Linked DNA regions of Diceros bicornis minor. The protein of the gene in region 1 purifies or fractionates together with the protein of each later gene. This does not show direct contact. Links are inferred from orthologs where the notes say so. Each region holds a gene or a part of one and is shown in the gene's direction. Other genes may lie near its edges. The genes, in order: ZNF219 and CDK2AP1.

Evidence for each region.
Region 2: the proteins of ZNF219 (region 1) and CDK2AP1 purify together in Homo sapiens (affinity purification with mass spectrometry; 3 studies listed by BioGRID and IntAct, counting the BioPlex papers as one, with this or other methods). This does not show direct contact. The link is inferred for Diceros bicornis minor from reciprocal best matches to the Homo sapiens genes ZNF219 and CDK2AP1.

The regions. Positions count from the first base shown.
Region 1 is NC_080744.1:28,179,418-28,194,966, forward strand, and holds the start of ZNF219 (zinc finger protein 219), read left to right. Parts: upstream 1-6,705; 5' UTR 6,706-6,824; intron 6,825-7,452; coding exon of another isoform or gene 7,453-7,704; intron 7,705-8,126; coding exon of another isoform or gene 8,127-8,207; intron 8,208-8,570; coding exon of another isoform or gene 8,571-8,717; intron 8,718-8,838; coding exon of another isoform or gene 8,839-8,949; intron 8,950-9,230; coding exon of another isoform or gene 9,231-9,287; intron 9,288-9,376; coding exon of another isoform or gene 9,377-9,487; intron 9,488-9,872; coding exon of another isoform or gene 9,873-9,980; exon of another isoform or gene 9,981-10,011; intron 10,012-10,135; exon of another isoform or gene 10,136-12,280; intron 12,281-12,417; exon of another isoform or gene 12,418-12,750; intron 12,751-13,633; exon of another isoform or gene 13,634-13,712; intron 13,713-14,737; exon of another isoform or gene 14,738-15,549. UniProt on the Homo sapiens protein: Transcriptional regulator. Recognizes and binds 2 copies of the core DNA sequence motif 5'-GGGGG-3'. Binds to the HMGN1 promoter and may repress HMGN1 expression. Regulates SNCA expression in primary cortical neurons.
Region 2 is NC_080774.1:7,091,684-7,107,776, forward strand, and holds the start of CDK2AP1 (cyclin-dependent kinase 2-associated protein 1), read left to right. Parts: upstream 1-9,352; 5' UTR 9,353-9,573; coding exon 9,574-9,628; intron 9,629-14,173; coding exon 14,174-14,271; intron 14,272-16,093. UniProt on the Homo sapiens protein: Inhibitor of cyclin-dependent kinase CDK2. Also acts as a component of the histone deacetylase NuRD complex which participates in the remodeling of chromatin.

The DNA.
Region 1 (15,549 bases):
ATTGTGTAGCCTTTAGGATCTAGTTGCAGTTTGAGATGATGAATCTGTTGTGGCACCAGCTGCCGTGTTTGAGCGATTTTCTCCAGTGGCACCATTACTGTTAATGTTTTAGCTGAGACTGAACGTCTGCCAGGATGTTGCACAAGAGTTTCTATGCTGAGTAGAAAGCCTTGTAAGTTTCCTTCTGACTTAGTCTATTTATGCATTCATTCGGTAGACACTTATTGAATGTCTCCTATATGCCATTCACTTGGCTAGGTTCTGGAGTTATAAAGATGAATAAAACACAGTTCTTGCCTCAGAGATGGGCACATAAATGATAATTTCAATTGTAGGGGAGGAAAAAATCCTTTTCTCTATCCTCTTAGGTTTAGTAGCTGGAGCTTGCAAAGTAAATTGACAGAAGCCAAATTAACAGGAGAAAAGGCATACAAATTTTATTTGATGTTAATATTTTAATTTCTATGCGCACAAAGGGTCTCCATAGAAAAGAAATGAAGGCCCAGAGAGGTGATTAGACACAGGGGATTATATACCATTTTAACAAAGGGTAAGAAATTGTGGAGAAGTCACAAGACAAAGGGAAGCGGGTTTGGGCTTCTAGGGGTGGTAAATTGTGGGAAAGTAAATATATGGGAGAATTGATGGAGGATCAGGGCTATTTTAGTGAGGTTTGTTTGTGCAGACCCTTCAGAGTGCTGACTCTCTGTCTGCAGTGATAATGGCAATAACTCCTCCTGCTACAGGAGCGGGGAGGGGGAAGACCTTCACAAAGGGAAATTTATGTCCTACTTTTAGGCAGATGGGGGAGGGTGGAGAGCTCTTTCTGAGTTTGCTGCTTCTTATTTGCCTTCAGCTCAAAACAATCCTTATGCTAAATTGGCATATTTCGGGGTGGCGTATTCTGACCGCCTCATAATAAAATCTTGTAAGTATAGAACTATGTATACAGCACTAAGGGAGCATTGAAGAGTACAGTCTTGGCGGTGGTGGGAGAGGCCAGGAAAGTAGGCGAGGACAGAGGTGAGTCATAAAGGATCAGGAGCAGTTAGCAATACAAAGGGCTGGTTTGGGGGGAGGACGAGATACTAGAGCTTGAATAAGGTATGGAAGTAAGAAATATATGTGCCAAAGTCAGATGTTTTGACTTAGCTATTTTGACGTGATATGGCTTTGACTTCCCACTAGTGTTTTCATTGTTCTGACTTCTCACTAATGTGCGCAACAAACAGCCCTGACCTCCACCCAGCCCACCATGAGTCAGAGCTGTCATCATCATCATCCTTGGGCTAATCAAAAAGAAAAAAAGAGGAAGAGGGAGAGCGTGAAGCTCAAAGATGGGGTGAAAGTGTTTATCATACATATTAATTAATAATTTAAAAAAATTTTAAGGCTGCATGCCCATGCCACCTTCCTCAGATTGCTGTCACTGAAGAGTAAAGTGCAAGGGAGGGGATGTGGGAGATGACACTGGAAAGGCAGCCAGGGGCCAGATCACAGGGGTCACTGAACCGTTTTAAAAAGCTTGGACTTGATCTTATAGGTGATGGGGACGACTGGAGGGCTTTTAAGCAGGGAAGCTACATGGTCACATTTATGTGGCTATGTGGAAGATGTATCTGAGGAGGACAAGCCTGGAGGCATAGAAACTATTTAGAAAGCTTTTTCTGTGATCTAGATGAGAGCCTGCACTGGGGCAGGAGTGGTGGTGATGAGAAGAGGATGATTCGAGAGCAGCAGGAACATCTATAGAATGTGATGAGTATTTGGCTATAGGAAACAAGGGAGAGGAATTTAGCATTCAGCTTGTGTGTCCAAATGATAACACCAGATAAGACTGAAAATTCAGAAGAGGGAGTAGGCGGCAGATACAAGGGGAGTATTTTCGGTTTTGGATGTGCAATAAGCTTCTTGTAGGTCTTTGTACGTCTCTTTAAATACAAGAATCTTGGAGAAATTAGACATAAAGAAGTTCTTGAAATCTTTCTTATCATTTCTCTCTAGGGCATTGGTTTTCAAGGAGGGGGCTATTTTGCTCCCCAGGGGACATTTGACAACGTCCGGAGACATTTTTGGTTGTCACAACTTGGGGGAGGGGTGCTACTGGTATCTGGTGGTTAGAGGCCAGGGATGCTGCAAAGCAGTCTACAACGCCTGGGACAGTCTTCCAAAACAAAGAATGGTCTGGCCCAAATGTCAGCAGTGCCATGGTTGATGAACTCTCTTCTAAGGACTAGAAGAATACTTTACAATTTTGCCTAGGGCCAGTCATTCCGATTAGAGAGTATGGACGGGTCAATTAAAAAACACCACCACTGCTGAGAAACCAAATCCTAGTGTTGGAGAAGAAATTAAAGGTCATCTACTCCAACCATCCAGCTGATATTTGAATACTTGCTTCAACAACCTATCAGTGCAGAAGTGCATTGCACAAAACACCTCTAACACATCCAGAGTTTGAGAGGCCAACTCAAAGCAGCTCATCTTTGGAAAGGTGTTCAGTTTCTTCCCTTTTTTGGTCTAAAATCGGCCTCTCCATAACAAGTAACCATTGGACCCAACTTCACTTCTTCGCTTCACAAAGAACAGTTTCTCTTCATCATAATTATCTTTGAGATTTATAAAGACATCAATCCTGTTTCTTCTATGCCATGACTTTGAGTCTTCTCGCTTTACCGAAACCATAAGATTTTCCTTAAAAATGCACAGCATTTTCTTTACACATAAAGGGAGCACAAAATTATAAAGATGCCAAACAAATGAAATTATATCTTGGAGCTTGGATTTGAGGAAAAGCATTTTAAAGAAGAAAATTTTACAAAGGCAAGGAAAAACAGACAGGGATCAACAAAGACAACTCATTCACTCTGGACAGAATACAGGAAAAGTGTCTGATAAGAAAAAGAAACCAAAGATTCAGATGATAAGTAGAATCAAGAATAACACGCAACATAAAATATAAATGAAATAAGGCAGAAAAAACACAGGCAAAGAAGGAAAAACAAAAGAAACAGAAGATGCTCCTACTAAGTAAACAGCATCTGAATTTTAAAGAGAAGCAACACACACCAGCTTAGTAGCAGCCAGTCCCTGGCTTGAGGCCCTAGGAAATTATACAAGGAGGCCCTTTCCCCCCAATTTTTTTTCTTTTTTCTCCCCAAAGCCCCAGCACATAGTTGTGTATCATAGTTGAAGAGTTGTAGCTCTTCTATGTGGGAGGCTACCTCAGCAAGGCCTCAGGAGTGGTGAGTAGGTCCACACCCAGGATCAGAACCAGCCAACCCTGGGCCTCCGAAGCAGACCCGGAGAACTTAACCACTACACCACCAGGCAGGCCCCCCTTTCCCCTGAATTTTCATACAGAGAAAGCAGGTGAAAACAAACACTAAGGCAGCAGTTTCTTCTTCTTCTCCTCTTCCTCCTTCCCCTCCTCTTCCTTCCTCTTCCTCTTCCCTCTCCTCTTCTGGGGTTAGGCGTAATGAGGGCATAGTAGATTCAGGGCTCTCCATAAAAAACTAAACATATGGAAAGCACACACGGGGAGCTAACAACTGAAGGATAGTTCTACAAATTTGCTTTAGCAATTGGAAGGTTTTTAACACATTATTATAATGAAAAAAAATTGGCGCCAAGTAAAAATGTTTTCCTGCCTTCCCTCCTGCACGGAGTCACTGCTCAGTGGCCAGTAACCCAGCTCACGGCAGTCTCCCAGACTCCCTGTCCCCTGGAGATGGACCTCTGATCGCTACAGTGCACAGATCCCGCCATATTTATAGGAAACACTGCCACTGTTCTGCTTAACCCATCAGTCAAATACCGAACTTGAGGCAGCACTGGCTGGGCAAACCGAGATGAAGGGCGTTGACACAGCAACACGAAATGGTCCCAGACAAGAAAACGAAATCCAGAAACCCAACGAGGGAATCTTCTCTTCTCACTGAGATTAAACAAAAATTTAAAAAAAAAGATCCCAGCCCCAGGTGGCGTGTGGCGAGAGGCTGCGGAGCATTCATCAGGCCAAGCAGGCGAGGTCAGCTCCGATTACTCCCCGGTAGTTAGTTCACTGATTTCTGTGGCTCGTGTCCAGGATTGCATAACAGACAGACATAGAGGCCCAAGGGGGTGAGGATGACCCGGAAGGGCCCCGCGCCTCCCGCCTCCTCGCGAGGTGCAGCCGCGCGCGCGGCTGCCCTGGTGCACTCATTGCAGGGGAAGGATTCGGGGAGCGCCCGGCAGCGTGCAGAGATTTTTTTCTCCAATTTAGCCACTGCCATACGCCATTACCTCGCGGGAAGGCTCTTTGTGAGACCTGGACCCGGGCAGCCGCGAAGAGAGGCCACGAGATGGCAGCAGAGGACACAGCCCAGGACACAAAACCAGAATCATTTGCAAAGTGGATATTTCTTTTGGGAAATACCGTCCGTTGCCTATAATCATGTATTTAAGGCCAGAATAAATGACTGAATTTCAAAGAAACGAGGATAAAATTATCAACATGTCCCAACCACCACAGAATTCAGCTGCATATGAAGCCACATATGAATCGGATATTTCTCCAATGCTTAAAGCAAGGGATAGGGGTCAAGGCCTTTAAAAACTGACGTCAGGAGGAACATTGTCCAGTCATTTCTTTCTGTGAAGTTCCAGTGGGCAGCAGTTCAAGTAAAATATGAGTGACTTCCACAGAGGTTGCCAAACTGATGAAGAAAGGGGCAGATACAGTGGTTGCTGGGAAGCATTGCAGCAAAGCAGAATGCTTTCATGGAGCAGCTGGGGACTCCAGCAATGGGGAGCGTGGTGCGGGAATAATGAGGATCACAGGACAGTCCTCAGGCAGTTTTTACTTACAGCTAGGAGAGGATAATGCACAGGAAAGGGGCATCAATAGCATTGAGACTAAATCTCCAATCCTCTGACTTCTCATCTAATGCTCCTTCCGTTACATCTCCCCCCCGCCCCAGTTGTTACTACCAAAAATGTCTCTAGACATTGCCAAATAATCCCTGGGGGGCAAAATGCCCTCTCCCTGAGAATGAATGCGGTGGAGGGATGTGATAAAAAGGTTTTAAGAATGTAATGTTAAACCTCTCCAAGATTCTTGAATTTCAGAAGACATCTCGAAGGCTTATGAGAACCGTATTGCACATCCCAAACCCAAATTCCTACCATATGTTTGTATAACGGAGAGACTATAATTGAAGGACTATAGGCTGAATCTGGTTCTCAATTTTTAAAAAGTTAGTTATTAACATTTTAAAATCAGAAGATTTCACATTTAAAAAGTCAGAATTTCTGACTTTTACAGGAAAATTGGAACTATGGCAATACCAGGCCCACAGTCCCACGTGGCAATAATTGGATGGAGTTGAGTGTGGGTAAGGTCTTTAAATAGAATGTGTGCTCTCTCGTTTGCCACAGTCCCCACCACTCTCTATTATAACCTCATACATACCCAATCTGCTTTATTCATTTACACTACTCCTTGTCCCCATAGGCAATTTATTTTCAACCTCTGAAGCACTTTATAGTTTTAAAGTATTTTTCCTTTCCAAACGAAATGTGTGATTTTATTTTAGCCTTGATACTCCAGTAAGGTAGAGAGGATAAATACTATGATTATAATCTCCATGTAATCAAAATGTAGTTCAGGGACGTTTGACTTGCCCAAACTTACACAACAAGACCAGAATCTAGTTTTCCTGATTCCCAGGCCTATTATTTTTTTGGGAAAAGTTTCTATTAAGAACTTGATTTAGTGGTTCATGGAACAAAACCAAAAAGTAGATATGGGCATAACTGCTGGAATGGATGAGTTCCAACTGCTAAGCTGTTCGAGAATCACCACAAATGATGAACTCTTCTTCTTTTAATGAAGTATTTCTGCTTTCCTTCTCCTTCCAGGCATATGAAAAGATTGCCCTTCTAGCTGTCTTGAAGTTGAGTGTGGCTATATGACTTGCTTTGGCCACCAAAATGTGAATGGAAGTGATATGTGTCCCTTTTGGGGCAGAGCATTTAAGAGCCCATGAACAATTCTTCACTCTTACTTCACACGGCTGGGGTGGGGGTGGGGGGGTGCTCTAAGCCTCATGGCGACATGGTAGGATCTCAAAATGGTGGTGCTCCATGGCTGGGGTACCTGAATAACTTATAATGAGTAGAGCCCTCTGCCAGACTACCCTAGACATGCAGTGTGAGAGATAAGCCTTTTGTGATTTTAAGCCATTGAGATTTGGGCACTGTTACACAATATAGCCTAGCCCAACCTGACTGACACAAGGTTCACTTGCATGGTCATTGAACTTCTCCAAGAACTAGAATGCAAATCCTAGACTTCTGATCATAACGCTAAAGGCTCTTGCTCTTCTCTGGAAGAGGGTGACAGCAAATTATTGATTCCCTGCCCCTCCCCCCACATCTACTACCACCTTCTGATTTTGAAGAAAATTATTTTCTGAGTCCTTCACACTTGAGCTCTCCATTATGGCAGATAGATTGGAAGGAGGAGGGGAAGGGGGAGGCCCAGATCTTGTGTTCTCCATTCCAGAGCCTAATCCTAGAGAATTGTCTCCACCCACTAGTACTCACATACCCTTGTCATAGGGCGACTATTACCACTCCCAAGGTGTCACAAACAGAAAGGGGCTGCCGCTGGCACCACTGCAATGTCAGGGCCAGGCAGCCAGGCTGCGCTCTTTCCTCACTGGTGCCTGGGCTTGGCTGAGCCCGGAGAAGCAGCATTCTCTAGGGAAAGAAGCCTTCTCAAGTGGGAACAAAAATGAGTGTGAGGCGCACAACCATCCTGGGCACTATGTGAATTTGGGGTGAGTTCTCTCAGTACTCCAGCTCTGGTCAATTTCTAGTTTCTCTAGCGGCTAGTAACTTGCCCGGCTGCTGCTACTGGGTCTCCCAGTTTTCCTGGGCTTTTCTCCAGCCCACCTGAGCTTGTCATCTTTGCACACTTGCAAAGGTCATAAATGGTGGGGGTTGAGCGCAACCAGACTTCAGGAACCGGACTGCAGGGGGATCAAAGGTCTCGGCGGGGCTGCCGAGAGGCCGAGCCTGCGCAGTCCCGCTCCCGCCTTGGAGAGAAAGGGCGGCGGCAACGCGGGCTCGTTACACCCGCGTGCTCGCAAGAGGCGGGAAAGTTTTGGGTCGGGTCGCCGCGTCCCTCCCTCTTCCTGCCCGGTCCACCCCTCTGCCCAGCGAGCCTGTCCTCCTCAGGCGCCCAGGCCTCGGGGGAGGGGGACGAGAAGGGCCCTAGGCTTCTGACTCATCATCTCCAACCCCTTTCTCGCGCGCGCTCCAAGTCTCAGGACTTTGGACCTGGGCACGGTGGGTGGGGGCGCGGCGACAGCATCTGGGAAACCCCAGCTCTGCAGAGGGCCAGCCTCCAGCCCCTGCCAGTCTCCGAAGCTGCCAGAGGGAAGGGTGGGGGCCCACAGTGAGCTCTCAGTTGCCGAGGTTGGGATGTCGCGCCCCCACGCACAATAACCCGCCCCGCTCCTCCCTACACACGAGGCCAGTGGTCGCGTCCGAGGAAACTCGGCTAGGCCCCAACTTCCAGCGCCTCGCGTCACTCAGCAGATGCACAGCGCCCCCACCGCGGAGGGAAGGCCCTTTATTTCCCAGCAGGCTACGGGGCAGCGGGGCCTCCTGGGACTTGTAGTCTCCGTTACAGTAGAAAGGATCGAAGGGAGAGAACTGAAGCACCCATGAATTGATTTCAGAGAGTAGGCGTTTCCAGGAACCGGGCCTGGAGTGGATGGGATTGTGAAAGGTGGAAAGAAGAGAAATAGTGAGATGAGGCAGATGTGAAGTTGTATAGGGAGGCGGTGGGGAAGGAGGGTAAGGATGGAAGGGAAGAAGTGGGCATAGCTCAAAGTTGGCTTAAGGATGCTCTGCAAGCGGGCAGCTTTGCAGGGCGATGAGGTGAGGGAAGACTCTGGTCTACAGTCTAGAAAGGGGCCTAGTGTGAGTGAAAATCGAAGGCACTCCGCTGGACTTCATGTAGGTCTCAAGGGACTCCTTCTAGCTTCTGAGTTCAGTGCGGTGGGGTGCAGGAGAGTTTGGACAACGCTCCCGCAGGGCGGGAGAGCAGCACCTGTCTGCTTCCCCTTGCCAGCTCACTCATTTGTTCCGTTTGCTGTGCTAGCCACCCTGGGACCATCCTCCAAATCAGGAACTTCCTCCAACTCAGAGAGACCCTAAAAACCAGACAGAGGTGTGAGGGGAGCAAACTGTAGGGGTGAGAAAGGAGGAATCCCAGATAGAAGCAACTTCCTCCTCCTCTGCCATTTCTTCTCATGTTCCTGTAGCCCTTCCACTACTTAGGCAGCTTCCCAATGCTCTCCCACATTTCTAGCCCCAACCATTTAGATACCCAATTCCCTTTTACCCACCACTGGGGGAGAAATGTCCAAAGCCAGAAAACCAATCAGTTTCAGTCTAGGACTCCTTCCTTTCCCCTCTGTCCCCTTGTTTTCCCTGAAGTACCACTGACCAGGATAGCCAGTGAAAAAATGAGCTGCTAGCTAGCTGCTCCAAACTCTCCTCCCAGCCCTCATTACCTCCTGCAGCTCCTGGTAGTGCTGACTCTGGCTCCTGCAGCATCCTGGCTTCCTCTGGCTCAGCAGGAACAGGGAGTATGCTGAGACCAGCACTCCTCCTAGGGTGAAGGCCTCAGCACTGAGCTCCAGCACCAGCAAGCCGGCCAGCTGTAGGCAGACAGGGCTGAGGATGCTGCAGAGGACCCAGCATCTGTTTGCCCATGCCCTTTTCTCTCTCCGTCTCCTCTTGCCTCCTCATCCTCCCACCTTCTCCTTTATTCACCCGTACCTGGGAGGGGGCAGTTGAGGCAGGCCCCAAGGCTGTCTTCATCACCTCGACCACCACTGCGATGAAGCCCAAGATCAGATTGAAGGTGTTGAATATCATCATGGCCCGCACCTGCCAGTGAGCCAGCTCAGCCCTGTCCAGCCTAGGGGACGCATTGGAACCCCAAGCCCCACCTGCAGCCTAGCTGAAAACAAAACTCAGCTCCTATTCCTCCACCTCCAAACAGGGCCATCAGCCCTCTAACTTTCTTGCTTTCCCTCCTGAATCTTTTAGGCCAGTTAGGGGCAGAGATCTGACAGGATTAGTCAACACTTAGCCACTTCCTGGGCTGAGAGTGTGTGTGTCTGTTTTGGGGGGTGGGAGAATAGTACTGCATTCTCTTCCCCTCTCACCTTCCAGAGGCGGGGTGCTCTGCGCAGCTCAAGGGTAATAATCCCAGTGAGGAGACCCTGAATGGTGAGAAAGGCAAGTGTTGAGCTCTGGCCCCATTAGAGAGGGGCCCCCAGGACCTTCCATCCTCCCTTGTGGTGGGTCTTACCAATGCTCCAGGCCCAAGTGGCAGTGCTGTGGCCATATGACAGGCAGAGTTCAAGCAAGCAACTGAGACAGCAAAGGGCACCACAGCCACTGCCAGCCATAGCTGGCTCACCTGGAGGCCGGATGCAGGGTAGTTGGGGAACTGTCAGGGATTCCCTTCCCTCCTGTCAACCCCTCCTCTTCCAGAGGTCAGCAATTGGGAGGAATGCATGGTGGCAGAAAGTACTCAACCAAGGGCAGTGAAGGGAGAGGGCATTATTTTTTTCTGCCTCATGTCACAGTTTAGTTACTTACCTATGTGTTTTCCCCAAATGATGGAAGCTACTTGGAGATTAAAGGTCTTGCCTTGTTTATTCTATGCTTCCTCCACCCCCCTCCTCCCACTCAGAGCCTAGCACAGTTTTAGGCACATGGTGGGTGCTCACTAAACATGGATGGAATTGAATTGGGCTACAAGTGGACATGCTGAAGTTTGGGGTGGGGCAGCCTGGCCTCACCGCCAGCACCAGGAGGTGCCCACTCCACCTATGCCTTGCCCAGTGCTGTAGCTTTTCCAGACGAAGGCTGGGTCTCTCCTGCTCTCGTTGATCAGCTCTCTCCTCCATGGCTCCCTCGACCAATGGAGCTCAGTGCTTCCTAGGCCAGGAAAAATGAGTTATGACACCTATCAGGAGACAGGACGTGCAGCAACATTTCTTTCAGCTGCCCCTCTGCCCACTTCCAATATCCAGGGAGTTGAAGCTCAGGGCCTCACACCTACCTAGTCTGAAGCAGCTCCTCCAAAAGAGATGGGACACAGCTGGGCCTGAAGCTCCTGGCAGGACCTGGTAGCTCAGAGCAGATGACAGACTTGTCCTGGGAGAGACACGCTGTCAGAACTGGGGTGTGGTGGGGCAAAGGTCCCCATGAGGGCCTAAGGATCCAGGGAGTGGCCGTCGGTAGACACCAGCCTCAGTTCACTCCACAAGACTCCCAGCCCTGCCTCGCTCTGTTCTCGTTTCCTTTTGCCCCCATTTCTGCCCATCCTGGGTCCCTCTTCTGAATACTCACCTCATCCCCATGGACACTACCACCCTAGGCCCCAATTTCCCCCCATTTCCATCTAATCTTTCTTCTTCTGTTGGCATCCTCCTCAAATTACTTGTTGTTCCCTAGGGAAATCCCATATTACCGTCTGGATTGGTCCCCTGTCATTACCACTTGCAGCTTTGTCCCAAGACCAGGCAAGGTTTAATTCCCTTGGCTTCCTTCCCTCACTTTCTGGACAGTTTCTCTTCTCTTCTTCCTTTCTTGAAGGACTTACTCTGGATGGGACTAGGTGGATGAGGAGCCCTATTTATAGAGGGGATTGCTTTTGACTCAGTGATAACCTGCAGTTAGACATGTACAGAAGATGGTCCCCAAATGGCCAGTCTTGGGAAGGACAGTATTGCAACAATTAATATTTCTGAGAGATAGAAGTTGCCTTGCAGCCAGGCAGACCTGGACTGGAATCTCAGCTCTGCCACTTTCCCAGCTGTGTGACCTTGGATACATTATTCTATCTATTTGAACCTCAGTTTGTTCAAACTGAGTGTTAAAACGGTGGCTAATAATATGACTGTGAAGTGTTGACTCATGGTGGGTGTTTAATGACCATTAGTGGTGTTGATGAAGTCATACTGATGTGCCTGACGCCCATATACTACAGGGTTTATTCAGATGCAAAGCTGGGGACATTTGTTTCTACAGTAAGAAGCAGAACATATATACTCTAAAGATCAAAAATAGGAAAGGCCCATCTTGGTGCAGAGCCTGAGGTCTGGAAGCAACCAGACTTATGTTCAAATCCCAGATCTACCTGGGTGACCTTGGGCAAGTTACTTAATCATTCTGTTTCCCTATCTATAAAGGGAAGTTAATAATACCAGTCTCAAGGGGTTGCCTTGAGTACATATTAAAAGAGAAAATGCATATGAATCAGCCTAGCCCAGCACCTGGCAAAGCACTCAATAAATGTTAGTGGCTATTATCATTATTATTATTGATGACAGAAGAAGGCTGAGCCAGAAGACCCCTGGGAATTAGTACCAGGAGGCAGGGTCCTAGGAGGCAAGGAGCTTTCTTTGTAAGCCACTTCTGCCCTGCTCAGTGCTGGGCCAACACTCACTGGAGCACTGTGTCCACTCTTCTTTCCTGGGGAGTGGGAATCACATTTAAAGGGACCCTGGGAACTGCTGTGTGTCTACTCCCTCTTGGATCCCCGGGTGCATTAACTGTATTTGGTGGTGATGGCCTGACATAGTGTCAGATGTTAGGCTTGCACCGAGGACCCCTGAGCCGGTAGGCCAACGGAAAGACATTCTTTAGGCTCGTTTTTCTTACCTTAAGTGCAGACTAGTTATATTTCAGAGTGTTATTGTAAGGATTATATACCATTAAATATGTGAACAGGCATTCAGTAAATATTGACTAAATCTGAATATACTACGCACAAATGTGTAGTCCCTGTCTGGATTACAATCTCCTTGATGGAGGATACTACATCCCCCTCATCTGCTCATCCCCCACAGCGCCAAGCATAGTGCCTGGTACTTAGTAAGCACTCAGTAAATATTTGTTGTACTGAAGAGCCATTAAAGTGACTTAAGGAATGGAAAAGAGAGTTCGAGAGGAAGGAGCAGGAATTGTTGTTTAATCAAGAACAGAAAGGACCGAAGAGTAACTTTAATGATGTTTCTTATACGGCAGACATTAACTATCTCTATAATCGCCCCTCCTCCTCCCCAAAAAGAGACACAGAAATTGTAAGGGAGAGGCTTTGAGATAAAACCCCAGGAAGAACTTCCCGAGTCTGTGCATGTTGGGGCAGAAAGAGCGGCAGAGCCAACTCCTTCCCTGGTATGTCCGGGTTTAGGGTGGGAGGGGCAGTCCTGCTTGGAGGCTGGGGGAAGGACGAGATGACCTTTCAAAATCTCTTCCAGTCTCCTGTTGGAATCGTCTGTGCGCCCCACCCCCGCTCCCTCCCTCCCTCCCTCCGACAGCGCCCCCCGTCTCCAAACTGCCCGCACCCCGCCCCTGGCGGCCGCCTCTCGCGGCTCCCGGGGTCCCCAGCTCCCTGTCCCCGGAGCCAGAGCCCCGCTCCCGCTCCCGCGCGGCTCCCAGCCCCGCCGCGCCGCCCCCCGCATGCTAATGGCCGGGCCGCCTCCCGCCGCACACAATGCGGGCCAGGGCCGGGGGCGGGGGACCGGGGAGGGGGCGGGGGCCGGGCCGGGGGCGGGGGGGCCGGGGCCCGGCGCATCTCCCCCGGCCCCACGTAACGCTGACGCCCGCGCCGCCGGCCCGCCGCCCGCCGCCGCCGCCGCCGCCCGCTCCGCCGCCGCCCGCCCGGGGCTCGTGAGTAGCCGCTCCCCCCACTCCCGGCCCCCCCTCCGCCACCCGGCCCCCGCCCCCGGCCCCCTCCCCCCCTCCCGGAGGGGGGGCCTGCTCCGCGCGCCCGGCTCGGAGCAGGTGCAGGGGGCGGGGGCGGGGGAGGGGCGCCGGCTCGGCCCCAAGCAAACTTCGCCCAGAGCTCCTGGGGGGGCGGGGTGGGGGCGGCGGCCTCGGAAGCCTGGAGAGCTAGGGGGGCCTCGAGGGAGGGGGGGGCCAGGTGGGGGAGCCGGGAAAGCGGACACCAAAGGGGAAAGGCCAGCGCGGGTGGGGGGTCGGTGGGCGTCTTTGTAGGGGCCCGAAGGCAGGGCGCGAGGGGCCTGGGGGTGCGGGGTGGCCGATCTGGGAGCCCGAGTGGATGAGCGCCCCCCGGCCCAGGTAGGGCTGATGGAGGAGGGGGAAGGGACCCAAACTCTCCGGGAGCGAGGGTGGGGGAGGGGAGAGGATGGGGGGTGCTTCCCTCTCTGCGTCCCAAACAAAGTGTCACAAAGAGCTCGGCCGGCGGCAGCAGCGGAGGCGGCTGCAACTCAGCTTTTGTTCTCCCGGCCCGGGTAGCTGAGCCCTGGCCTCCCAAGCTCCCAACCCTGCCCCCCATCATCCTTCTGGCTTATCTTCCCCGGGAGGGGTCTGGGGTGCTGCGAGAAGAACCTCTTGTGCGGGACCACAGGTCCTGCCCTACTTGGCCAACCTACTTCTGGGAGGGAGATTTTCCCAGAGGCTCTCTTGCCCAGCCCCCCACCCCTAATCTGAGGACTGAGGTTCATGTGGGTGCTAAGACTCTGACCTTTCTAGGATCAGCTCCAGTTTAGGGGACTTAGGGCTGGCCACATGCCCCCTCCCCCAAATCCAGGTCTTCCAGAACTTTCAGAAGAGGGGTCAAGTTGGGACATGCCTCTGGGATAAGATTCACCATGGTGGGGCGGCAGTAGGTGAGCAGGTGTACCTTCCTCTCACCTCTTGCTGTACATTTGGAGTCCATGACTGAGGCCCATGCCCCCAACTCAGAACAGTGAGGATGGAGGGAAGGAGGCTTTACCAAGAACTCAGTCTAAAAGGTGGGCAAGCTGTGGTGTGGAGTCAGTTTGGAGGAGCCACCTGAGCAGTGAGTTTCAGAGGGCCATGGAGAGGAGACCATAAAAGTGAGCTACTGGCATGTCTGAGTGATAAAGGTGGTCTTGACCCCAGACCACCTAAGAAGTTCATTTTCCTTTTAACCCCATCTAGTGCAGTGTTAATCATAATTGTTAGCAGACTTGGGAGGTGTAGGATTCTCAACAGAGGTAAAAGCATCAAGCATCAGAGATGACCAGAGACAGAACCTAGTCACAACTATACCTCAGAAGTCCTGAACCCTTACCCCATACACTCTGACCCTAAAAACTTTTGAACTACAAGGCTTGAGGGACAATCTTTGTGGTCCTCCAGTCAGCAGATGGTTCTATGTACCTGTCCCTGTTGTTTCCAAGAGTCTTCTCACCAACCCTTCCATCCTTCCCTACTCAGTAAGGTTTGATGGTCCACAGCCCCTTCCCCACCTGCTCTCCTAGCACCTAAAAGTAATTGGCCTGCTGCTTTGGAAAGATTTCTGATCCCTACCCCTGGCCCTGCATCCCTATAGAACCCAAATAAGGGCAAGATAGCCCCTGATTCCCAGTGGGGGTGGAAAGTAGGTCACTGCTACTGTCTGGCTAAGTCTCGTGGATAGTGTTTAGGGCCTGACTCTAGAAAACTCTGTGATTATTGCCCACAGGCATGACCTGGGTTCCAGGCCAGTTCACAGATCTTGGGCCCTGTCAGTGCTTTCTCCTATTGAGAAAAACTCATGGGATCAGGCGCCTGGGACCTGGTTTGGTGTAGAGATGATTCAAGAGATCTTGACTAGGCCTAGGAGGATCTCTCAGTGGGTTTTGTTGATTTGAGCCCTCCCCCCACCCCGCCGCCCCCCGGGGAAACTTTCCCTGTTTGGGAATTAGCTTCAATTTGGGCCGCCTTGTCTATCACTGTATTGCCATCCTGGAAACTGTTAGGTGCAAAACAGGTTTTTTGTTTTTGTTTTGTTTCGAGGGAGGGAGATTTGCCGTATTCCTACTCTACTTGCCTTGGGTATGAGGTCAGCCTCCCATGAGGTATTTTGCTTGCTATCCTACAGGAAGTTTTAGGGGCCCTAGAATCTTCTCAGAATCAGAGTATGTGCCCATAGGTTAGTCAGCTATGACCATGCAGTATTCCCAGCCTCCCCCCTCTTCCCCCACCATCTGCTTCCTCTGAATATACCAGATTGGCTGTACACCAGGATGTTCCGGGAATCCCCAGGAGAGCAACAGAATGTGATGGACCCAAATACGATGCCTCAGTAACTCATTCCAGGATGTACAAACTGTAACTGTCAGGACACTCCTTATAGCTAATTAAAATTCTTCTAGTTACATCTATTTTCTATTACATCTATCTATTTTCAGTGACATCCAAAAGGCTAAAATAATCCCTCTGGTACTGGTTTTTTTTTTTTCCCTATGATTCCCAGATAGGAATTTTTAAAAATCCTCTAGCTTTTCTCAGTGCCTCCTCTGTGTGCTAAAATGGCAAATGCAGCCCCTCTGGCACTTCATAGCTCTACCTATGGTTCTGAGGTGGCCACAGTGGCTCCTCTGGTAGCCCACTGCACTCTCCATGGTACTGAAGGGATGACCATTTGTTTTTCACATTTCTCTGGGGTCCAGAAAGTCCTGTGACTCAGAACCACAAAACTTTTGAGCTGGAAGGGAC
Region 2 (16,093 bases), on another chromosome or scaffold:
GCCCCATCAGAGGGAAGACACCACAGAAAGAACGGTTTGGCACCTGCGAAGAGCGACTAGATGCCTTTGCCTTATGTGTGTATGTGATTAAATCCTCCCTGCCCCTGTGAGGTGTGAGTACCCTCACTCTCGCTTTACGGATGAAGAGACAGGCATAGAGGTGAGGGAGCCAGCAAGGAGTGGGGTCCCATCCAACCCAGGTGGTCTGGGCCAGGAGGCAACGCTTCTGTCCTCTAGACCTGGAGAAAGGCAGTGGGAGGGAGGGAGGATGGGGAGGCACGGATGGATTTTTTTTTAATGTTTGGAATATGGCTTGTTTGTGAGTCTTCTCTACGTGGGGTTTGAAATGCTTGAGAGAAGCATTCAATTTGTAGCTTGAAATGCTTAAGGGAATTGAATCAAATTTGTAAATGGTGTTAACGTTCAGGGGAATTTAATCTGTTAAATACATGAGATAATTGAGCATTAACTGAAGAACAAGTGAAAGGGAGTGTTTTACATTTTAACTTAAATTTTACTCAAATATTTGTAAGTTGAGCTTGAAGTCTGAAAGGAAACTTGTTTTTAAATGTTATAACCTTAATAAGTTGAGTATTAATTTGAATCAGAAATGAGAGACCAGACTTCATATGGAGCCTCCACCATCCCCACTTTTTCTGTTACAGTTCTAGTTTGCTTGGACCCTGTTCCCTTCGGGCTTTTTATCTGTGCCCAGGTCTGTGTTCAGCCTCGCCGTGTGCCCCTGGGCCTCCTTGCTGCTGGCATTTGGGCCAGGCCATTCCGGGGGTGGGGGCATGCCGTCCTGTGCATTGCAGGCTGTCGAGCAGCATCCCTGGCCTCCATCCGCCAGAGGCCAGTAGTACACACTGCAGCCCCCACTGCCAGTTGTGACAACCCCAGATGTCTCCAGACATTGCCAAACGTCCTCTGAGGAGCAAAATCACCCCTGGGTGAGAACCACTGCCCTAGGCAAAATAGTCACAAAGAGGCAAAAAGCTGGTGTCTGTGATCTGTGTGTGTGCACACACCAGTGTGTGTTTTCCGGAGGACAAGGCCCATGTCAAGGGGGCACCACCCCTGATATATAGAAAAAACGAACGTTAAGTGGCTCGGGGTTTGGAGTGTGTACAATACAATTTCCATAAGTATGAATATTTATCAGCTAGTCATTTGAGAGCGTGATGTAAAGAAGCCATCTGTGGAGGCCTTTATGGAGAGAAAGGAGGCTAAAAGAAATGTGCAAAATGCTTATTTTTAGAGTCCAACTCTCGGCAAGTTGGCTTCATCCTCTGAAAGCCGCCCACTCGGGGTGTCGAGTGCATTACTGGGTTAGGAGAGGCGAGTGCCACGCTGTGTGTTCCAAACCATCGTCCTTGAGTTAAGGATCACCACCGAGTATCAGGCAAGGATGGGATGGCGAGGGGGATGCTCAAGTAGTCTGGATACTTAATTTTTATGTTTTCGATGGGTTGTTTGCTTGAATAAGCAACACCCGCACATGACAAGTCAACAGGCAGATGAGAACAGACAGCGAACATTGTTTTCTCTCTGCCCCTGCCGCTGGCCCCGTTCCTCTCTCCATGGCAGTCATTCGTGCCAGTTTCTTCAGGATCCTTTCTTGGGGAACTTGAGAGGGTAAGTTTTGAGCATCACAAAAATGCTCTAGCTTCTGTTGTTTACCTTTGGTTCCAGGCAAGACTGATTTTCCCAAAGATCGATGTGCGAGCCCTTTAATTACTGGAGAAATCCAAACTAGAATAAATTATTAATTGTAGGAAATTGGGAAATTCAACAGCATGAACCTTCAGTAGAAAGTTAAGTGTTTTGTGTAGATGCCCACTGATTAGAGCAATAGGAGGCCACTAGAATTCCCCCTTTCATCTCCCCCTTTCATCTCTAGTCATAGATCAAGATAAATGAGACAGTGCTCTCAATTCCTGCATTAATATTGGGTTTCTTTTAGTTTTCTGTTCCCACAGTTGGGTGTTTTTGCATGTGTGTTTCTCATTCAGAGGTATGGATATGAAGATGGGGTCATGATGTCCTCACATGCTTGCACATCCCATTTTTATTGTTCTACCCATAGGGAATCAGCCTTAAGAAACAAACTTTTGTGGTCTAAAACAGACTGGCCAACTGGTCTGCCGGTCAAATCCAGTCCACCACCTGTTTTTGATCCTGCAAGCTAAGAATAATTTTTACTTTCCTAAATGGTTGGAAAAAAAGAAGTTTTGTATCATGTGAAAATTACATGAAATTCAAATTTGTGTTCATAAATAAAGTTTTATTGGAACCCAGTCCTGCCCATTCTTTTACGTATTGTCTCAGGCCGCTTTAGCACTACAGTGGCAGAGCTGTGTATTAGAGACTATACCGCCCGCAAAGCCTACAGTACTTAGTATTTGACCCTTTACAGGAAAAGCATGCTGGCTCCTAGTCTAAACACAGGAGTGATGGCAGAAACATAATTGAAAATTAAGAAATTTGGGAGTGGACCTCTGATCAAAACCCAACTTGATATAAATGTGGCTTTACTGTCCTGAAGACATAAACCACATTGGAATCCCTAACTGTGACAGGCTAATCAAGACACTTCACCCACAACTTGTCTGGCTGTCACACTGTTAGGTCTGGCCATCTACTTAACTAGTTTTTTGGGTCAGTGGTCTGCAAACATTTTTGGTCACATATTCCAATTAAAAAAAAAACCGGGCTGGCCTGATGGTGTAGTGGTTAAGTTTGTGCACTCTGCCTCGGTGGCCTGGTGTTTGTGGGTTTGGATGCCAGGTGTGGACCTACACACCGCTCATTGAAACTGTGCTGTGGTGGCGTCCCACATGCAAAATAGAGGAAGACTAGCACAGATGTTACCTTAGGGACAATGTTCCTCAAGCAGAAAGGAGGACGATGGGCAACAGATGTTGGCTCAGGGCCAATCTTCCTCACCAAAAAAATAAATAAAAAGTAAAAAAAAAAAATTTCTGAGCATACCTCCACTACTGTTTAGGAAGTTATTTGTAACTTATATATGTGCTACTGTGCTAATATGTACATGGTAAATCCCACATAAATAGAAGTTCTAATAGTCCCTCACTCTTCTGAGTCACCCTTCTTACCACCTGGGCAGGTGCACCCCAGTTGGGAGCTGATTGCCCCAGAATGTTGTCCAGTGATGGAAACAGTTCCAAATGTTTCAAAGGCCTTCCTGGGCTGATGTTTTTTCATTAGAGAAAATGGCATGTGTGTTGTTTGTCTGCCTTCTTAGGATGTTAGAATTTCGAGAATTCTTAGAGCTCCATCCCATCAAACCTCCCTAGTCTCACAGATGCAACTAAGGCCCAGGGAGTTTAAACAACTGATGTGAGGCCTACAGAGAGGTTTATGGTGGATCCACAGCTGAAACTCGTCTCCTGATGTTCTTCCATGCCAAGCTCTTTCCCTGGGCTCCCCCTTCTCTCTCTTTCATTCATCTGCTCTGCTCCCTGGCAAGCCACTCTGTGAAATGCCCATTAAACTATTAGGGAACCATTCTGGATCATTTGGAAACTCCTCATTAAAAGGTGCCTATTTGAGTGAGTTTCATACAGATGCTTGTTAGTGGAGCCACTAGGAATATTTCTTTCCCCTTGTAGGGGTTTTAACTCTTAGAGAAGGAAGAAGAGAAAGGGAAAACAATCCAGATCCTTTTTGAAGCCTGTTGTAGTGGGTTGAATGGTGGCCGCCAAAAGATATGTCCACCTGGGATCTGTAAATGTGACCTTTTTTAAAAAAAAAAGGTCTTTGCAGATGTTAACTATTTAAGGTCTTGACGAGATCATTCTGGATTAGGGTGGGTCTTAAATCCAATGACAAGTATTCTTAGAAGAGAAGAGAAGACACATAGAGAAGAAGGCTGTCTGAAGGCAGGATGGGAGTGATGCTGCCACAAGCCAAGGAACACCTGGAATCCCTGGAAGCTGAAGAGGCGAGGGCCCCTCCCCTAGAGTCTCTGGAGGGAGCCTGGCCCTGCCAAAACCTTGATTTCAGACTTCTGGCCTCCAGAACTGTGAGAGAAGAAATTTCTGTTGTTTTAAGCCACCAAGTTAGTGGTAATTTGTTATGGCAGCCCCAGGAAACTAAGACATCTGTTATGGAAAGAGTTGTGAGCAGGAAGAATGGTGAGAGCAGGAGTCCTTCCTGCAGAGGAGAGCTGATCACACTTTGTCTCATTTCTAGGAGCACTTTGAGGCCATTATAAGGCTCAATGTGCCTGTCTGGAACCTTCAAGAATGTAGTTCTTTCCTTCAAGAAGCTCAGCCTCATGAAGGACACAGACCGGATTAAGTGCCATAGCAGGCATTGACAGAGGGGCAGCCAGCCAGGGAAGACTTTTCAGAGGTGGGGATGGTTGAGCTGGGCTTTGAAGGATGAGCAGGAGTTTGCCAAGTGGAGCACAAGGGCAAGTTGGTATAATGAAAGTTCAGATGTGGGAATGAACCAGTACCAGGGTCATAACCCAGTCTGGTCTGAAGAATAAGAACTAGTGGGAGGCTAGGGGTAAGGAAATGGCTCCAGTGTGGTGGGGTATGAGGGGATAGCTAAATGTGGCTGCCATGCCTAGAACAATAAGCTTCATGACAACATGGGGATTGTCTTGCCCTGCTGCCCCTAGAATAGTGCCTGACACTTTGGAAGACTCTCAATAAATATTTGTTGAATAAAGGAGAAAACTCATGACCTTCTCAACAGATGCAGAAAAAGCATTTGACAAAATCCAACTCTCTTTCATGCTAGAACAACAAACTGGAGGAATGGAGGGGAACTTCCTCAACTTCATAAAGGGCATCGATGAAAAGCCCACAGTTTACATCAAACATAGTGGTGAAAAACAAATCTTTCCCCCCTTTAAGATCAGGAACAAGACAAGGATGCCTGCTCTCACCAGTTCTATCCAACAGTGTCCTCGAGGCTCCAGTCATGGCAGTTAGGCGAGAAAGAGGAATAAAGACATCCCATTTGGGAGGGAAGAGTAAAACTATTTGCAAATAATATGATCTCACTACAGAAAGCCCTAAAGAATTTACGTACAGACACAAAAAAACTACTAGAGCTAATAAGTGAGTTCAGGAAAGTTGCAGGATATAAGACAATATACAAAAATCAGTTGTATTTCTATACACTAACAATGAACAATCCAAAAATTAAGAAAACAATTCTACTTACAATTGCACCAAAAATAATGAAATACTTGGGAATAAATTTAACCAAAGAAGTATAAGACTTCTACACTGAAAACTATAAAACATTGTTGAATTAAAGAAATAAGACCTAAATAAATGGAAAGACATCCTGCGTTTGTGGATTGGAAGACAGCATGCAGTTAAGGTGGCAATACTCCCTGAATTGATGCACAGATTTAATATGAGCTCTATTAAAATTCCAGTTGCCTTTTTTTTTTTTGCAAAAATGGACAAGCTGATCATAAAACTCATAGGGAGATGCAAGGGACCCAGAATAACCAAAACAATCTTGAAAAAGAAAAAGTTGGAGCACTCACACTTTCTGAATTCAAAGCTCACTACAAAGCCACAGTAATCAAAGCAGTGTGTTGTGGCATAAGGATAGACAGATAGATCAATGGAATAGAATTGAAAGTCCAGGAATAAACCCTCATATTCACCATCAAATTGATTTTCAACAAAGGTGTGGGACCCATTCAATGGGGAAAGAATAGTTTTTTCTTTTTCTTTTTCCCCCTTTTTCTCCCCCAAGCCCCAGTAGATAGTTGTATGTCATAGCTGCACATCCCTCTAGTCGCTGTATGTGGGACGCGGCCTCAGCATGGCCAGAGAAGCAGTGCGTCGGTGCGTGCCTGGGATCCGAACCGGGGCTGCCAGTAGCAGAGCGTGCGCACTTAACCGCTAAGCCACGGGCAGGCCCCCAAGAATAGTCTTTTCAAGAAATGGTGCTGGGACAGCTGGATATCCACATGCAAAGCATGAATTTGGACCTACCTCACCTCATACACAAAAATTAACTAAAAATGGATCAAAGACCAAAACGTAAGAACAAAAACTATAAAAACTCTTCAAAGAAAAAACAGGTAAAAATCTTCGTGACCTTGGATTAGATATGATACCAAAAGCACAAACAAACAAAAGAAAAAAGTTGAACTTAAGCAAAATTTAAAACTTGTATGTGTCAAAGGGCACTATCAAGAAAATGAAAAGGCAACTCAGAATGGGAGAAAATATTTGCAAATTATGTATCTGTGAACAGACTAGTATCCAGAATAAAGAACTCTTACAACTTAACGTTAAAAAAAAAACTCAATTAGGAGGCTGGCCCAGTGGTGTAGGGGTTAAGTTCTCGAGCTTCTCTTTGGCGGCCTGGGGTTCGCAGGTTCAGATCCCGGGCGCGCACCGACGCATTGCTTATCAAGCCATGCTGTCGTGGCGTCCCATATAAAGTAGAGGAAGATGGGCATGGATGTTAGCCCAGGGCCAATCTTCCTCAGCAAAAAGAGAAGGATTGGTAACGGATGTTAGCTCAGGCTAATCTTCCTCACCAAAAAAAGCAACAACAAAAAAATTCAATTAAAAAAGGGTAAAGGATTGAAATAGACATTTCTCCAAAAAAGATATACAAATTGCCAGTAAGCACATGGAAAGATGCTCAATATCATTATCCATTAAAGAAAGGCAAATCAAAACCAGTTCACACCCACTAGGATGCCTAAAACAAAAAAGCCAGATAATAAAAGGCTTGCTGAGGATATGAAGAAATTAGAACTCTTATACACTGCTAGTGGGAATGCAAAATGGTGCAGCCAGGAAGGAAAGTAATTTGGTAGTTCCTCAAAAAGTTACACATAGAGGGGGCCGGCCCGGCCCCGTGGCTTAGCAGTTAAGTGCGCGCTCTCCACTGCTGGCGGCCCGGGTTCGGATCCCGGGCGTGCACCGACGCACCGCTTCTCTGGCCATGCTGAGGCCGCGTCCCACATACAGCAGCTAGAAGGATGTGCAGCTATGACATACAACTATCTACTGGGGCTTTGGGGGGAAAATAAAATTAAAAAAAAAAAAAAGTTACACATAGAGTTACCATATGACCCAGCAATTCCACTCCTGGGTATATACCACAAAGAACTGAAAACATGTTCACACAAAAACTTGTACATAAATGTTCATAGCAGCTCTATCCATAATAATCAAAAAATAGAAACAACTCAAATGTCCATCAAGATGGATAAACAGAATGTGGTCTCTCCATACAGTGGAATATGATTCAGCCATAGAAAGGAATGAAGTACTGATACATGCTACAACATGGATGAACCTTGAAAACATTATGCTGAGTGAAAGAAGCCAGACACAAAAGGTCACATATTGTAGGATTCCATTTATATGAAATGTCCAGACTATGCACATACATAGAGACAGAAAAGTAGATTAGCGGTTGCGTAAAGCTGCAGGTAGTGGGGAATGAGAAATGACTGCTATTGGGTATGGAGTTTCTTTTTGGGGTGACAGAAATGTTCTAGAATTAGATAGTGGTGGTGGTTGCACAACTCTGTGAATATACTAAAACCCACTGAATTGTATACTTTAAAAGGATGAATTTTATGCTAAAGGAATTATATCTCAATTAAAAACAAAAGGAAAAAATTTTTTTCAGTGATAATCGGGACTTAAAGTGAGGGGGATGGGCGATGTGGTAAAAAATGCAGTATTGAAAGAGAATAGCCTGGAAAATTCATAGAAGGGATCAGCGCAGGCCACTGAGATCTGGATTCTTGCCCCAAGGAAACAGAGGCCTAGTCAAACAGCTAACAGGTGGTGGAGGCAGAATTAGTACCCAGGTGTGTCTGTCTTATGAGCCCCCTGCTTGTAGCTTGTAGCCCTGCACTGTCCAATAGGAAGCTGCTAGCTATTGTGGCCACTGAGCGCGTGACATGTGGCTGGTCTGAATTAAGGTAAGCTGTGAGTGTCAAATACACGCTGGGTTTTGAAGACTTAGTACCATAAAAAGAACATAAAGTATCTTAATAATTTCTTTATATTCATTACATATTGAAATCATACTGTTCTGGATATATTGTTAAATAAAATATATTATTAAGATGAATTTCACCAGTTTCTTTTTACTTTCTAAAATGTGACTACTAAAAAACTTTAAATTACATATGTGGCTTGTAATATATTTCTGCTGGACAATGCTGCTCTAGAGTATTGGGCCCCTGGAGGCAGGGTAGAAAGGGGTGTCATTAATTTATTCAAGAAATGAAATTTCACTGGGCACTCTTGGCTGAGCTAGCCTAAAGCTGATCACCAGAGGTGCTCGTTAAGCTGGGGAGGGGGTGTCACTTGCACCTTCCATCGGAAGGGAAGGCATGGGTGGTATCCCTTCTCTCCTGGGCGGAGAGGTTGACGCCCTCCTCAGTAGATCCAGATGTGTCTGAATGTCTCTAATTTAAACATCTGCAAAGCATGGCAATTAAAAACGGCAGAAAAGGGTGGGTATCTTGTAGTTTGACGAGCTTTACTATTTAAGCAGAACTCCAAGAAGCAGTACCTTCAAAAGCTTAGTCATCTAATCCAAAATGTTTGATGATTGCGCTTCAGGCAGATCTGAGGATGGGCTGGGGTGGGGTCGAGGGAGGGTTAAAAATTATAATGCCAACTCCAGGAGAGTAGAAACTTTGCCAAGTTCATTCTTGTGTCCTTAGCGCCTGGAACCCTGCCGGCACACAGTAGGCGCTTCTTAAATATTTGAATGAGTTAAGATGCAAAACTATGTGGATGCGAGGGTGAATTTTGCAGGGGAGGAGGCCCCTCACTTTTGTCAGTGTCAAGGGAGTCTAGGCCCCCAAAGGGTTAAAAACCACTGAACACAGACAGGGACATGAAATTTATTTGAAATCAATGTCAAGAATTGGTTGCTCTTCTTCTGGGGAGTAGCCAGACCTCGGCGTCTGGAATGATCTATGTGCTTAAAAATACCACTCGCCACCATTTTCTCCAGGTAATTTTCCATCCCTGCCCCCACAATCAAGGGGAAAAAAAGTAATTCTGCAATCCTACCGAGCTATTAAAAAAAAAAAATTAAGCGGTAAAATAGCAAATCTCCCGGCGCTGAAAGCGAGGAGGAAGCAAGGGACCCACGCGGGCCTCGGGCGCCGCCGGGACCCCAGCCCCCCAAACTTTGCCAAGTTGCGGGCGCCGAGCGCGCCCGGAGGCGCGGGGCGCGGCCGCGGGCGGAGCCACCCCCTGACGCCGGGCCGCGGCGCGCCGGGCCGCCCCCTCCCGGCCCGGGCCGGCCCCGCTGGCTCCGCTCAAAGTTTGCGGCCGCCCCTGCGCCCGCGCGCCCGCCCGATGTATGGGTGATATACTGCAGCGGGTGTCAGGGTGAGGGACGGCCATATTTGCCGGTGCGGCCCGAGCCGTCAACAACAAAAAGTGCGCGGGAGCTCGGCGGGCGCACGGACGGGCGCACGGACGCCGGGGCCGCCTCGCCGCCGCCCGGCCTCGCCGCCGCCGCCGCCCTCGCGGGCCTGGCCCCGCTGCGCCCCGGCGCGCCCCGCCGCTCGGGGGGATGTCTTACAAACCGAACTTGACCGCGCACATGCCCGCCGCCTCCCTCAACGCCGGTGAGTGGGTGCGCCCCGCGGGCCGCGCGCGCCGCGCCCCAAGTGCCGCCAAGTTGGAGGCCCGCGCGCCTGGCCCCGGCCCCGGCTCCCGGGGGCCCGCGGCGGCTGGGGGCGGCGGGCACCGGGTCCCGGCCCGGGGCAGCGCGGCCGCCGCCGCCGCCGCCATGATTCCAGCGCCCGCGCCGCCAAAGTTCGCGGGTGCGCCCCGCGCCGCGGTGGGCCGGGGCCAGCGCCGGGGCTCGGGGCGCGGGCGGCCCCCGCCGTCCCCCCCACGCCGGCGGCCGAGGGCTCGCGGGGAGCGCGGCGGGCGAGGGCGGGGGAGGCTTTTCTCTGCTCCTTTTTCCTCCGGCTTTTGGGCGGCTCGGCGAGGGCCCCTGCCGGCGGGAGTGGGGAGCAGCCGGGCCGCGCCGGGAGCAGGGCACGGGGCGCGGGGCGCGGGGCTCGGGGCTCGGGCTGCCCTTGGGGCGCCGGGGGCAGGCCCGGCGGGGGGCCCGGCTGCAGGGGTGCACGTGTGCAGGACCAGGGCACGCGTAGGCAGGGCTGGGGGGCGGCGGCGTGCCAGGTGCAGCGGCTCCTGAGGGCGCGGGGTGGCTGGGGTCACCGGCGGTGCAGGGCACTGGCTCGTCCGTGGGGCTCGGCCTGGCGCGCGGGAGCGGGGGTCCCAGAACAGGGCACAAGGGAGGACCCCGCAGGCGTGCGCAGAGTGAAAGCAGTTGGAGAAGACCGGGGGCTTCTGAGTGCCTGCGGGCGGTGAATGGGGGCTGCACTTCAGCCCGGGCCCCGCATCGCGGAGCCCCCAGTCTGGACCTAGAAGGCCCCCTCCTGCAGAAGCCGGGGGGCCATCCTCTCCCCTCGGGGCTGGAGCGGGGCGGTCTCCGGAAACTCCTTCAAAAGTTGCTCGGCAGCTTCAGGCTGTGCCCAGGGGCTTGCCCCAGGGACCGAGGGAGACATCGGGGGGGAGGTAAAATCGTGGAGTTCAGGGGTAACCGGCTTTGTCTGCTCACCAGGGTCCTTCTCCTTTAGACACTTGGTTGGAAACAGACTTGCAAAAAAGTGAGGCGCGTTGGGGGTGGGGGGGGCAGAGGCCTTGGGGAGGGGATTGGCCTTGTTGGTCAGAAATGCCACGTTGGCAGTTGGCCGCAAGTTTGGGGCCTTGTCTCCAAACGTTGACTCCGTAACTCCAAAAATCTGAAGAGGGACCCAGAAAAGCCATATGTATATGTGTGTGTGTGTGTGTGTGTGTGTATACACACACACACACACACACATATATTTTTTAACTTCTTGGACACAGATTTGGGGATTGGAAGGGTTAAGATTCAGGGTGCGGATGGGGGGATAGTTGAATTGGTCAGATGTGGGCTCTGAACCCCAAGAGCAAACAGCCACTGTTTTCTCTGATGTCCCCACCTCCTCTGGGGTCTGCAGACCTCACCAAGACAGGCTTTGTGGCCAGGTAGGATTCTCGATGCCTCCTGCATCTGTCTCTGAGGTGGGAGGGGTGGAGGTCTGGCTGCCTGCCTGGACAGAGGGGAACTCGCAGGCCTGCCCTGGTATAGTTGGGGCAAGAGCCCTAAACTGGGACCTTTGGGGATTGGGGTCACAGAGTGACAGGGGCACCCACTCAGAACCCCTGAAGCCCTGTTCTAGTCTGGCTAGCACCTGTACACAGGTTTTCTTCTTTCTCCTGTGGTGAATTCCAGGAGCAGTGCTGAGGTCCCCAGATCTCTGGTGTTTTTTTGGGGGGGTCTTCCCCCCTCCCCGTGGACCCCTTAGGAAGCCCTGATCTCCCCCTGCCATTTGCATCCAAGATGGACTCTCCGCAGCCGCTCCTCCGGCTTCCTTGTCATCATCCCTCACGCCCTCCAGCCCTGCCTCCTGCTCACGGGTTGCCAAGCCGCGGCCTGGCCGGCGGTGGCAGTGGCTGAGTTAGACAAAGCCCCCGCCTCCCTGCCGGAGAGCGCCCCCCCAGGCGCCCCAAGTGGCGGGAAGGCCGCCAGCTCCCCAGGCCCAGGCCGCTCTTTGTCTGGCGTGGGGGCGGGGAGCTGCGCCTGGCCCCAGGAGCTGCTGGCCTCTGCCAATCCCTCCCTCGGCTCCAGGCCCTCCCTGGTCCCCGCACACTGCACGCATTGTCTGCGATGCTCCAAGAAGGCCATGCTCACACCCAGTCTGGCTTTCTCCCTGGCCTCCTGCAGCCCGACCCGCTGGCCCTCCCTGTGCCTGCAGGAAGGAGTGGGCACGAGTGGAACTCGGGGCCCTTCTGCCAACTCTCTCCAGGACCACAGACACCCCCCTCTCAACACAGAGTAACGGATGGGCACTGGCACAGAACCGGGGTCTCCCACCACGTCACCCAGGTGCCTGAGCTGTTGCCCAGCTCCTCCCCCACCCCAAACCAGGCGATTTCTCATTCCTCGACCCTCTCCCTTAGCCCCCCAAGACCTAACCCCAGCACCATGTAAGAGCAGGATCTGGAGCCTTTGGGCATTCTGCTGGGAACGTTGCCTCAAACAGATGGAGAAACTGAGGCCCAGAGAGGGAAGGGCCTTGTCTAAGGTCTCACAGCCAGGTGTGTCAGGCTCAGCCAGACCAGCCCCTAGTCCAGGCCTGTGCCCATAGGAGAGGAGACGGGTCAGGGAGGCGGGAACTCAGTAAAGAGAGCAACCAGAGGAGGAGGACTCACCTCCTGCCAGGGAGTGAAATCTTCCAGACACAGTGAAGTGCAGTGCAGTGATACATGCCCCCACCCCCCCAGTCTCCATTTAGCATCCTGGCCTCCTAGAGGGGTGCGATAACTTGCCGTGGTCAGGATTGGAACCCAGGTCTGGGGCTGCGAAGCCTGAGCGACCCAGACCATGCTCACTGCCCACATCAGAATGTTCAGGAAATTGGGGTTTGGCTGATGTGGAGGGGAGCATGGGGGGACACCCACCCTGCCCCATCCCTCTGCTCTGGCCCCTGTGCACCCGCGGCTGCCTTGGACGGAGGTCGCAGACATGCTCACAGTGTGTCCCTGTCCTGAGCAGCACGTTCCAGCAGCGCAGGCGGATGGCAGCTGAGGCTCCGGGCAGCACAGTGATGTGCCCAGTTCCCAGCCTAGAGGTGGCAGAATTCTGTGTTTCCTGACTGGGTGTCCCGTGCTTGAGCATAAACCTAGGCCCCTGTGGGGAGATCCAGGGCAGGGCTGTGACGGAGGAAGACGTCTTGGGTACCAAGCTGTCCCCAGCTCCCAGACAGAGGGGCGGGCGTTGGGGTGTTGGCCTCTCCTGTGCTGTGTGGCCTGGGGCAACGCCTACCCTCACTGGTCTGTGTTTCTCTACAGGGAGGGGCTCCAGGGCCCTCTAGGGCCCCTTCCAGCTCCATCTGCCTGAGCTCCTGAACTTCCTTCCTCCCCTGCCCCTCCCCTTGCCCACACCAGATGGGCAGCTGGTCGCTTTGGCCATCCTGGCACCAGCTGTCCATCCCCAGGGCCAAGTCTGCGCAGCCTGCTGTGTGCGTGCGAGAGAGACCGTTTGGCTCTGGGGGAGGCAGGCAGAGGGGGAGCTACTCCTCAGCCGGGCGTGGAGGCAGGCGGGCAGCTGCCGAGGAGGGCTAGGTAAATTCTCCATGGTTACTGCTGTTTGTAATTCTGCAGGACATCCTTTACCCGCTAATGGCCACCCGGGCGCCATTATGGGTCTGCGTGCTTCCAGCTACTGAGCTGGAGCCGGAAAATTCCCTGCTGAGGACCTTCCCATACCCATCCAGGAGATTCCATTCTGAGCCGGGCCCTGGCCCCACATAGTCCCTCACTGCTGAGGGACAGTCTCTGAGTGTTGCAGTCCGTAAGCAGGGCCTTACCCCTCCTCTTTTGGGGTGCGAGCCATCCAGGCGTAGAATCAGACTGTCAAAAGTCCTGTCCCCTCTTTGGGGAGGAGGCAATGGGCTCAGAGAGGTTGAGGGGCTTGTCTGAGGACACACAGGGAGGCTGTGATATACCCCAGATTCCTGACTTTGAGTCCAGTGCACTGTCTCCAGCCAGGGTTGGGTCTCAGATCTTCCAAACCCTCCCCCTGTTTTCCTCACCATATATAGTCCAGCAGACATTTGGGCACACAGGACCTCCTAGCCCCAGTGTGGACCAGCCTCAGTAGCAGGTGGGCTCTTGTGACAGCGATGTGACTCTAGGTTATTAACCTCTGGGGAGCAGAACCCAGGGAAAGGGTACTAGCAAGGATTAGGCTGAGAACAGCAGCAGATTTCATCCTTGGTACCAATCCTGACTGCATGGATGGGAAGGAGTTCTGTGATTGATTAGCGATGTCTGCTGTGGTGGTGTGAAGAGCAGTGGCCTGTTAGCTACGTTTTATTATCAATCATCTAGGCTGAGTGTCAGCCACGACCAAACTAGAGGACAGGAGCGGTTCTCTATCCTGTGAAAAGACCACTGTTGATGGCATGGGTCCTGGGCAGAGGGACTGTTGCAGGACCCAGAGTCCTCACTTTGGGTACCACTAGCCAAGGCTACCTGATTGTGATTCCTGACTCTTCTCTCCTTCCCCATAGCTGGGAGCGTCCACCCGCCCTCCACTAGTATGGCAACATCCTCACAGTACCGCCAGCTGTTGAGTGACTACGGGCCACCATCTCTAGGCTACACCCAGGTATGGCAGCAGGGCTGATGCATGGTGGGAGGGGCTCTGGGGTGGCCTGGGCACTGAGGGGACACGCTCCCCATCGTCTGGGGAGGGGAGTGGGTGGAAGAGATGAGGAGTAGAAATGACAGAGTGGAGCAGTCATGTGGGCCTCCTCAACCCAAGGCCTTGGCATCAGAACAGAGAGGTGGACATGAGAGATGGGAGGGGTGGGAGAGCCCAGGGAAGGCCCGAAGCCCTGAGAGCCACAGTTCCTGTTGGGGCCACCACCTGATGTGTATCCCTGGTGGGTCTCCTCGTGCCTGATTCCTGGGAAGGTAGGCCCTGACTTTGACTCTAGATCTGGGCTTGACAGAGGAGGGGGGACCCCATTCCCATCAGTCCCCACAAAGTCTGGCCCCAGAAAAGAGGAGGTTGGGGCCTGTCTCCTCATGGAGTCCAGATGCGTTTCATGGAGAGCTGGTGGTCCCTGAGTGAGGCCACTTGGGTTTACACTTGGTGCCACCACTTACGAGACTGTGACCCCCACTTGGCAACCTCACTGAGACTCAGTTTCCTACAGTCAAGTGGGGTTAACACTCGTACCAACTTCCCTGGGTTGGTAGGCACGTCAGTGGAGTAAGCCATAGCTTTAGCCACGGCCGGCACCGGCCAGGGAACTGCTGCCATGGGGAGGGACCTGGCCCGGTGCAGCCCTGGGTGCCATGCATCAGCCGCAAGATTCTCTCCCGTGGCTGGAACTCGGCCACGTTCTGAGGTCACCATGGGGCTGTCGCTCAGGTTGAGGTGGTGGCTCCCTGGCCATGCCCCGCCAGGCCGTTCTGTCCTGGGAGGAGAGGCAGGAGTGGGCCCGGGAGCGGGACCGCCTGAAGAAGCGGCGGCGGCGGTGGGAGGACAGGGGGAGGCGCAGCCTGGAGAGGAGGCAGGACCGGGAGGCCAAGAGGAGGCGCCGGGAGGATGCTGAGGAGCTGGCCAAGGAGAGGAGGACGGACCAGGGGGCCAAGACACAGAGGCGGCGGAGAAGGAGGGAGGAGCAGGCGAGGGCCTCTGGAGGGAAACGGCCGCCCTGATGTAGCTGGAGGAGGAGGAGGAGGAGGAAGAGAGGCCCGAGCAGGTGGCCTTGGCCCACAGGCCACTGGGAACCCAGCCTCCTTGATCTGGGTGCCTGCTTGGGGCTGTTGGTGGGGGTCTGGAGAAAAAGGGTTTCTGTGGGGTGGGCCCTACCCCTGGGGGAGGATGGGTGAATTTAAACACATTCTGGGGGGCCTGCCCGGTGGTGTAGTGGTTAAGTTCACATGCTTTGCTTTGGCGGCCTGGGGTTCACAGGTTTGGATCCCAGGCGCGGACCTATACACTGCTTATCGAGCCATGCTGTGGTGGCTTCCCACATATAAAGTAGAGGAAGATGGGTGCAGATGTTAGCCCAGGGCTAACATCTCAAAAAGAGGAGGATTGGCAACAGATGTTAGCTCAGGGCTGATCTTCCTCACCAAAAAAAATAAAATATAAATAAGCACATTCTGGGCTCCGTCCGATGGTCTTTGGCGATATTTGTAGTCCTGCTGACCCCAGGTGTGGCCTCTATCACGTCCACTTGCTCTGGACCCTCAGCCCCTGGGATGTCCTTGCTCATCCGTCCATCCGGGTCTCAGGAAATTCTCAGTGAACCCTTCCTTGTCGAGACGAGCCAGTCTGTTTTTTAATTTGAGATGATGAAGGAGCTTTGTGGGACTGGGGTGGTTTCCTTGAGTGTGCGAGGACAGCAGAGAGGGCTGCCCTGCTGGTCGGTAGGGGTCCCTCAGAGGGGACGTGCCTGGCCCCAGCAGAGGCA